Linked DNA regions of Sus scrofa. The protein of the gene in region 2 binds, or shares a complex with, the protein of the main gene of each other region. Links are inferred from orthologs where the notes say so. Each region holds a gene or a part of one and is shown on either strand. Other genes may lie near its edges.

Evidence for each region. The genes of interacting proteins can lie anywhere in the genome.
Region 1: STRN4 (region 2) and STK25 share a complex: the UniProt entries of both Homo sapiens proteins name them as parts of the core of STRIPAK complex. The link is inferred for Sus scrofa from reciprocal best matches to the Homo sapiens genes STRN4 and STK25.

Annotation. Positions count from the first base shown.
Region 1 is NC_010457.5:140,151,472-140,156,193, forward strand, and holds the start of STK25 (serine/threonine-protein kinase 25), read right to left. Parts: upstream 2,840-4,722; 5' UTR 2,753-2,839; exon of another isoform or gene 2,692-2,752; intron 2,226-2,691; 5' UTR 2,155-2,225; coding exon of another isoform or gene 2,104-2,154; 5' UTR 1-2,103. UniProt on the Homo sapiens protein: Oxidant stress-activated serine/threonine kinase that may play a role in the response to environmental stress.
Region 2 is NC_010448.4:52,624,797-52,629,305, forward strand, and holds the start of STRN4 (striatin-4), read right to left. Parts: upstream 3,115-4,509; 5' UTR 3,087-3,114; coding exon 2,805-3,086; intron 2,723-2,804; exon of another isoform or gene 2,670-2,722; intron 1-2,669. UniProt on the Homo sapiens protein: Calmodulin-binding scaffolding protein which is the center of the striatin-interacting phosphatase and kinase (STRIPAK) complexes.

The DNA.
Region 1 (4,722 bases), on a different chromosome or scaffold from region 2:
CTCAGGCCTCCCTCTTCTCACTGCAGCCTGCACTCTCCACCCCAACGGCTTGACGAGAGGCACACCCAGCTGGGTGCCCAGACCTCCACGGCTCCTGAGGGAACTGGGCAGACCCCTGGACCAGGGGCTCCAGACTCAGCAGTGGGGGGAGCTCTGGTCCCAACGTCACACTTTTTGGGTCCCCACTGCTGTGGGTCAGTCTCCTGAGCAGACAGCATGACGGGAGCGCTCCTGGCTGTGACCCTGACCCTACAGGCACATCACAGGGACACCTGCGGCCAGAGCTGGTGGAAGGAAGGAAGGACAACTGCTCCCGAGCTGGCCTTGCACTCCCCTTCCAGAGACGGGCGTGGTTCAGACAAGGGCTCAGGCTGCTGGCAGTCCAGACCCTTGTCCTCTGGTCAGCCCTGGGCATGCGAGGTCAGTGGCCACTACCAGGCAGTATGTCTGCTGGTCATATCGCCCCACAAAATGAGGGGTGCCCAACGGCCCCCAACCACCCCACGATGGGTGGCAGCCAATGAGCTTCCTGCAGCCAGCCAGACCCTGCGGGCAGGGTAGGAACAAGGAACCAGCCGGGCAGAGGCCAGGAGTGGAGGGCCCCCTGCGGGCCGTGGGGGAGCTCACCGCACTGCCCCACACAGGGACCGCCTCGCAGGGCCACAGTGACAACCCTCGCAAGAGAAAACAATGTCCTGTCAGGCTTCCTGCCACTGACAAAGGCCAAGTCTCTCCGCCCCAGAGGACAAAAGGGGCTTCCTTCCTTCAGGGTCCCTTCCTCAGCTCCTCTGGGCTGTGCTCCCTTCCCTGGGCATCTGGTCTGGACACCCAAGCCAAGCCCCTAGTGCCACCAGCACACAGGGACAGGGTGGCTCAGCTCCAACTTCCTATTCCAGGACCCGCGGGACCCATTTCTACAGCTCTTAAAAATAGCTGAAGCCAGGTTTTTCTCCCAGCTTCTCCGTCATGTAATTTACAAGACACGAGATGTCAAAGATGAATGAAAGACCTGCCAGCGGGCTTCAGCATCAGCAGAAGTGCCAGTGCCCACCTGTGGCACGGCTAGTCCAGGATGCCCTGCCCGGCGGCAGCACGTGGCAGGTTTCTGCGAGGAAGCCTGTTGGGTGTGGAGCCGATCCTGACCCCAGCCCCTCCCCCGCCCCGTGGATACACACTTCCTGCTCCCCTGGCGCCCAGGCCTCGCGGACTCAGCCTGGGGACTCAGCCTTACACCCGAGGACGCTGCCTTACACCTTTCAGCAGGCGGCCGAGGAAAACAAAGCCAAGCAGTGGCCACAGGAAAACCTGGCTACCAGAGCCAGAGCGGCACACTCCACGTCCTACCAGCTGCAGATCACACCTGCTTCCCAATAACAGACAAGAGGAAAGTACAAACCATGTGCCACACAACCCAGGGTGCGCTTTGGAGGGTCCCCCGGAATCAGCCAGTTACCGCTCAAGGCCAGACACCCCCAGATGGCTTTTGCTGTTGGCAATCCCAAGACCCAGTCCCCCAAAGAGAAAGGCAGTGGGTGTCTTCCCAAGGAGCACCTGTGGCCCGGGAGCAGCCCTCTCATCCTCTCCTGTGCTCTGCTCTCCCCGCGCACAGACTCGAGAGCTGCGTCAGCACAGCCCCTGCCCAGCACAACACGGCCTGTGTCCCCGCCCAGGCTGCGGCCCCAGCGTGGACCCTGACCTTGCAGGTCTCTCCAGGTGCAGATTCATGCTCGGCAGGATTCCCACCAGAGCCAGCGGCCCCTGCCCTGTTCCCACCACAGGGCTCTGCACAGCCTCTGCTGCCCCTGCACTGGGGCTCTATTTTGCCAAGCTTGTGGGCTTCTGCCCCACACAACTGGGCAAGCTGGCCAAGCTGAGTCGCCCCTGCGCTCACCAAGTCTGAGCGCCTCGAGACTGCTCCCCGCTTCGCCCACGACGCGCTCCGCAGGACTCCCCCGCGCCTCCCTTCACCCCACGCTCGCCCTCGGAGGGACCGCTCCTCTGAAACCTCAGGATGACAGTCCTGGAGGAAGCGCCCTTGCTTAGCCTCTGCAGTCGGTGCTCCGGTAAACACACACACCCCTCTCCCCGGATGCCAACCCTTACCTGGTTGGCAAAGCCCCTGAGGTGAGCCATGTCTGCGCCGCCCTCCACCATCCGCTGCAACCTCGGGAGGCCCCGAGATCCTGCCTGGAGGCTCCGGAGCCCGGCCCACTCGCTTCAGGCAACTGGAGGGAGAGCAGGCCTGCTCGGTTCGAGGCACGCGGGGCTCCCTGCCGCCCTGGGGACCGGCGGGCCGGCCCGCCCCGGGGGCGGGCTGGAGTCACAGGGCCCCTCCGCTAAAGGCCCCCACCGCCGCGCTCTCCTCATCGCCCCGCTACGGCCCGACGCCTCCCTGAGGAGCTCCCCAACACGGGGCATCCCTCGGCGGCCCTCACACTTCCACCCGCAGCCTTGCTCCTTCTTTAGACCCCTTACCCCGGCCAGGACCCCCGCCGGGACCCCCGCCCCAACCCCGCCCCCGGTGCCCTCGCCCCCCCCCGGCGCCCCCCCCCGGGTCCCCCTACCGCCGAGCTCCGCCTCCAGTGCCCTCCTCGCCGGCCCCCTCGGGGCCCTCCCCCTGCCTCACTCCCCGCACCGCCCAGCCCCCTCCCCAACCGCCCCAGGCGCGGGCCAGCCCGGCAGCGCGCCCACCTCCGGGGGCTCCATCCCGGCCTCCCCCGGCCCGCTCCGCAGTGCCCACGAAGGCTCCCACCCGCAGCCTCCGCTCGCCCAGGGACGCCTGGGCCCTCCAGCCCGCGAAGCAGCGGCAGTGGCGGCGGCGGCCGGAGAAAGCCCGGCGGCGGCGTCAGCGACGGCCCGGGCGGCACGGTGTCGTGGCCCGGCGCGGAGCTCTCTGGGACACCGAGTCCCTCGTTCGCCCTGGGTCGGGGCGCACGCAGACCCTGGACTACAAGTCCCGGCAGGCCATGGGGCGGAGTGGTGTAGCGGCCCGCAAGCGTGCCGCGGTGCCCGCTGGGACTCCGAGTCCGGCTTCCTGAGAAGCTTGGGCCTACGTCTCCCGCCAGGCCGCGGTGCTGGGCGGGGCCTGTGGGGCTGGGGCGGGGCCAGGCGGGGCCCGCCCGGCGGCCGTGGGGTTGGGGCGCCCCCACCTTTCAGCTCTGCGGTCGCCCCCCCCCCCCGCCCCGCCTTCCGTCCTCCGGCTCCCCTTCCGAGGGCCTGGGCTCAAGACTCCAATTCTATCTTTCAGGCCTCTTGCAGCCGCCCGCGTGTCGGGGAGGAACGAATGGGTCCCCAGATGCGGTCCAGACGTGCCCGGGGGTAGGAGGGCAGTGCTGACTCGGGCCATTGCAGGGACCAACCGCCAAGACGGTGGCTAAACGAAATAAGCTAGTCCCAAAAGGACAAGCAGTGCTTGGACCCACCTGTGTGAGGTGCCTGGAGTCCTGAAGACAGAAAGGCGACAGGCGGGTGCCAGGGGCAGGGGCGGGCGCTGGGAAGTGAGTGTTTAATGGGGACAGAGCTTCAGTTTGGGAAGGTGAAAAGAATTCTGGAGATAATTGTACAGCACTGCCCAACTGAATGCTTTAAGGTGTAAGCTATCACAATTCAAAATACGTAAAATTAAAAAGGCATTGTTTTTTGTTATATGCCACAACGTGGATGAAAACGTTATGCCAAGGGAAATAAGCCAGTCGCAAAGAGACAAATACCGTGTGATGCGGCTTCGATGACCTCTCAAGACTGGATCAGTTCAGGAGGCAGAGGTGCTTGAGATTTCCTGGGGCTGGAGGAAGAGAGAAGGGATACACCACAGGGTACAGGGTTTCCATCGGGAGTGGAGACCAAGCTCTGCGATGGCCCCACAACGCTGTGAACGTGCTTGACGTCAGTGACCTGTACACTTAAAATAGTCTCCGTGTGTGCTCTGTGTGATTTACATTTTACCAAAACATTTACAAGGATGCAGCTGTAAAGCAATGATAAATTTGATTTCATCGAATGTTTTAAATTTCGATTTCAGAAAGGCATTGTTAAGAGAATGAAAGGACAGTTCCCTCCTCGGGCGTTAAGGAGCCGGTGTCATCACTGCTGTGGTTCTGGTTACAGCTGTGGTGTGGGTTCGAGCCTTGGCCTGGGAATGTCCATATGCCACAGGCAAGGCCAAATATAAATAAAAAAATCTTTTTCTTGCTTTTTAGGGCCGCACCCACAGCATAGGGAGATTCCCAGGCTAGAGGTCTAATACGAGCTATAGCTGCCAACCTACACCACAGCCATAGCAACGCCAGATCCGAGCCTCCTCTGCAGCCTACACCACAGCTCAGGGTAAACCCAGATTCTTAACCCACTGAGCGAGGCCAGGGATCGAACCCATGACCTCATGGTTCCTAGTCAGATTGTTTCCACTGAACCATGACGGGAGCTCTAATAATTTTTTTTTTTTTTTTTTTTGAAGCTAGAGAAGTTCCCATCATAGCACAGTGGAAACGAATCCGACTAGGAACCATGAGGCTGCAGGTTTGATCCCTGGCCTCTCTCAGTGGGTTGAGGATCTGGCATTGCCGTGAACTGTGATGTAGGTCGCTGGTATGGCTCAGGTCCCACGTGGCTGTGGCTGTGGTGTAGGCCAGCGGCTGCAGCTCCAAATAGACTCCTAGCCTGGGAACCTCCACATGCTGCAGGTACAGCCCTAAAAAAAAAAAAAAAGACAAAAGACAACAA
Region 2 (4,509 bases):
CAGCTATTTGGAGAAAAGGTATTCAGAACTGGAAAAATCTGATACAGTCCAGGCCTTAAAGGATCTCACAGGAGAAGTCGCACCTCTCTAAGTGATAAGTGCTCAAGTCAAAGTGTATAAAAAGAGGTGCTGCTGATGCGAGTGTAAATGCGGGGCAACCTGCCAGACCCAGTCCCCGCTTCATAAACACACCTCTTCTCCTGTTCCACCCCCTCCACCCGTCTCTTCTGCTGTACTCACGCGGGGATACAAGGATATTTGCTGCAAACAACCTAAAATTCCATCAAGAGGGCTCCAATTAAATGAGCTGGGATACAAACACCAGTGGAATATAGTTTTCAAAAACAGTGAGTATTGCTCTCTGTGCTGATATGAAAGGAACACCAAGACGCATGACTATGTGGGAAAAAAGGTCACAAAATGATACACATGATATGATCTCATATATTACACACATGGAGCTGAACTACTTTCACAGAAAACAGTTGGGGAGGCGAGTTAGGGAGCAGGTCAGGAAAGGGACGGGGGTCCCCTTCACTCACATGTATGTAATATGTGCACACAGATGCCTGAGCGCTTTGAATGTGCGCTAACATAACAGAACAAAAGAAAACAAAGTGAGTGGCGCCGGAGGCTAGACAAAGGAGCGTCTAAGCGGGTGCTATCCACAACTTTCTCCCAAAGCCCAAGAAGACCACTAAGGAGGGGAACAGACACATCTTTTCTCTTGTTTGTCTCAAAGATGAGGAGGTGGGTTGGGGGGTGCTGCAGGCTGCACAGGTGTGAAGTCCCAGACACCAAGCACCAAGATTTAACCCCAGGTCTGCTGTGACTGCTTGGACGTTCCCGCAGAGGCCAGAACTTCCTGGAACAGGCTTCTCCTCTGTCCTGGGCATCAGAGAAGTATAACGCATGGGCTCGAAAGCCCACAGACCACCTCTGCCACCCACAGGCTATGAGTCTAGATAAATCACTGACCTGCTCAAAGCCTCCACTTCCTCTTCTGCTTGATTTCTTTAAAGGGGAGGGAAGGGGGGGAATATCACTTACCCTCCCAGAAGGTTGCAAGGATTTATTTAAAGTGCCTGACACAATGCCTGGCACATAGTATGTGCTCAATAAACAGCAGCTGCGATAGCAGCTGCTGAGCGAGGGCAAGGACACTGGCCCTGCCTACATGAAGGGGTACTAAGAAGATCTAAAAAGACGTACTCTGGGAAAGAGCTCTGGAAGGAGAGATGGAACACAAAAACAAGGGGTACTTGCATAAGGATTTCTCTCCCACCCAACCCCCCCAGCACCAAGCCTCAGCTACCACAGAGCCAGGATCCCTACAGGGGTGGGAGAATTGCGGGATGCTCTCTCTATTCATCCCATGGACAAAATTCTAACCAGGTGTTTCTTTCAGTCCCCACCTCTCCTAGACAGGAAACAGCAAATCAGAGGGGGAAAGATGCTAGAAGCAGGCGCTGACTTCTGCTGATAACACCACAGACCAGGACCCCTCAGACTCCTGGCAGCACATCCTTAGAACCCTTAAAATCCTCACAATTCTGATACCCAGGCTCCTAGGGACACCCAGCAAACGGACCCACATCTCTCAAGGTCACAAAACCCAGCCCAGCTCCTCGGCGCCTTCCAAACATCATCCCAGGGGTACAGCCCTCCCTCAAGCTACTCCACAAACCAGAGTCCTTTCCCAGAAACTTCCACAAACACTACCCCCCACCCCAGGATCTTTGTGAGATTCTTCCTCTGGCTGCCTTCCTGCTCTACAAAATGCTCCCCGCCACCCCCAGATTCGGCCAATTCCTCGTGTCTTCACCCCACGCCCCAGCTCCACCGCTGGACACGGCCGACCTCCTCTCATTCCAGGTCGGGGCTCTGCACCTGACATCTTCCACACCTCCCATCTCTGGGCGGGAGTCCCCCCATCTCCCACATCCCCGAAGAGTTTCTCGGCTCTCAAGCTCTTCCAGCACAGGCTCCTGGGGCACGTCCTGGCCCCCTCCATGATTCCACCCCCGGGATCCCTTCCCGGGAGGCGGTAGCGACGCACTGCCAAGGCTCCACAAAGTTTCCTCCTCAGAGGGAAGGGGCACACACCTTCATCTGACACCCCCGAGACCTCGCTCTCCTCCCCGGAGTCCCGGCAGAGCCATCTTTCAGTCCCCGCCGTCCTAACACTCCGAAACAAACCCGTCCTGAGCTCCCTGACTTCCTCTCCCTACTCACAAGGGAGCCCAGCCCCGACCTGCTCTCGACTCCGGCGAGTCCCAAGTCCCCCCAACGTCCCCTCTTCCCACCCGGGGCCCGCCGGGCTCCACCTCCAACGGGGACGGAGTGTGACTCCCTCAGCACCCTGCATGTTCTTTGCTCACTCCCGTACAAGACCCCTCCATGCCCTCTCATCACCCTTGGCCGAGTTCTCTTGGGGTCCGCTCGGGTCCCCGAGGCCACTCTCTCAGGGACCCTTCGGCCAGTCCGTTCACCCCCACTCCCACTCCCAGCCGGTTCTGGTCCCCTGCGCCCTTTCTCTTGGCTGCCCCGGTCGGGCCCTCCAGCCCCTGGGCCCCCCTCCCGTCTCCAGCCGCCCAGGAGCCCTCAGGACCCCCCTCGGACGGCCCCTCACTCCGTCTGCGGGCCGGTCGCGGTCCCCTCCCGCCCCCCCCCGGCAGTCCCGGCGGCCATTGCTCCAAGATGGCGGCGGCGGCAGCGGCGGGTGAGGCCGGGCCGGGCCGGGCCGGGCGGGGGGGTCGAGGGTCCCTGGGCGGCGCTCACCTGTAACTCGGCGCGGCGCTCACCTGTAACTCGGCGCGCTCCGCCTCCCAGCGGGCCTTCTCCGCTTCGAAGCGCGCCCACTCGTGCTGGATAAAGTGTAGGATCCCCGGCAGGCTCAGGGGCTCCGGCCCCGCCGTGGGGCCGGGGCTGCCTCCGCCGCCGCCTCCCTTGGCAGCCGGGCCGGGCCCGGGGGCGGGGGCAGAGACCGGAGCCGCCCCCGTCGGGCCCGGGCCCGCGCCGGAGCCGAGTGGGCGGCTGGAGGAAGCGGCGGCGGCGGCAGCGGCGGCCGCTCGCTCCTCCATCATGGAGGCCCCGGGGCCGGCCCGCGCGCCCGCTGTGCTTCGCGCGCCTGCGCGGCCGCGCCAGCCCTCGAGCGCGCGCTCGGCGGGGGCCGGGGGGGCCGGTGCCGGGAACGATGTCGGGCGCGCGCCTCGCCCACCCGGGTCGACCCCCAAGGCGCGCGCATGGAGGGGCGAGGAGGGGCGCGCGCCTGGAGGAGGGCAAACGCGACCCAGACCCCTTAGGAAGCGCAGGACTTTGGGAGGGGCCGCTTCCTGTACCCCTCCTCCGGCTTCACCCCAAAGAAAGATTCTAGCCCTCTCCAGACCCAAACACCACTCTCCTAGATCACCGTCCCTCTTTGAGAGAAAGGGCGACCACCAGGGGTGGTTTCACCGATGGCCCCATCCTGATTCCTGGCCCGGGGCGGTTGTCATGGTAACTCTTCCTCAGTCGGGGACACCCTTAGCCTCCCTTCCCCTCCACCTTTATGGTCCTGGAGCTCCACCTCTCCTGGCCCTGCACCTACCTATAGGAGGTTGCTAAGGTCACCCAAGTCCCCGGTGGTCCTTCGGCCCCTACCCTCCTTGGTTACTATGGCAACCTCACCTAGCGCTCAGGTAGAAAGGAGCCTGGCCCCAAGGACACTGCTGAGGGAAACATCTCTTTCCCAGCCCCTCTCCCCAGCCTCCTGGTTGGCATTACCATGGTAACCATCTCCCCCTTTCCCATGGTGGGAGGGCCTTGGACCAGCCAGGTGTTTTTATTTAGAGGAGGAGATGCTCTGCTGAGGAGTAGTTGTTATGGTTACAAGATGCGGGCTATCCCTAGGGAGGTGAGAAACTGGCAGAGCCAAGTCCTGGGTACTATGGTAATGGGGGCACTCTGCCTTCCAATGACCCTAGAACCAGGCCCACCAAGGTAGAAGACATTTTAGGATTGTCTCTCAGAATGTAATGTGTCTAGGGAAGGGGTTGTCATGGTAACACCTTCTATCACTTCTACCCCTACCTTTCTGGACACATTCACGAAAGAAGGGATGGGTATAGGTTGCTATGACAGCCTTCCTTTCACTGCTAAGATGCTTCAGGTAGGTGATGCCTGCCTGAGCTTATGAGATTTCATAAGATGAAATTGTGCCCTGTTGTGTGAAGTTGGTTGATTTGGGGTTTTCTGGTTCATCTTCCTTCAGCAGTGCAGCTGAGCTGGGCTGGAACCACCCCCTTGGAGTTCCGTCAGCCTGCACCCTAGGAGGTAAGCAGCCCCTCAGTGTCACCAGCACTCGTGGGAACTGCCCTTGTCCCCAAAGGTTTTTCTACATATCACTCATTTGCTCTACCCATCACATTCCCATTCTACAGATGCAGCAGTTGAGGTTCAAGCCAGGGCAGAATCTGGACCCACTTACATTGTTTTGTGGGGAGAGGAGAGACAAAATCTCAGCTTAAG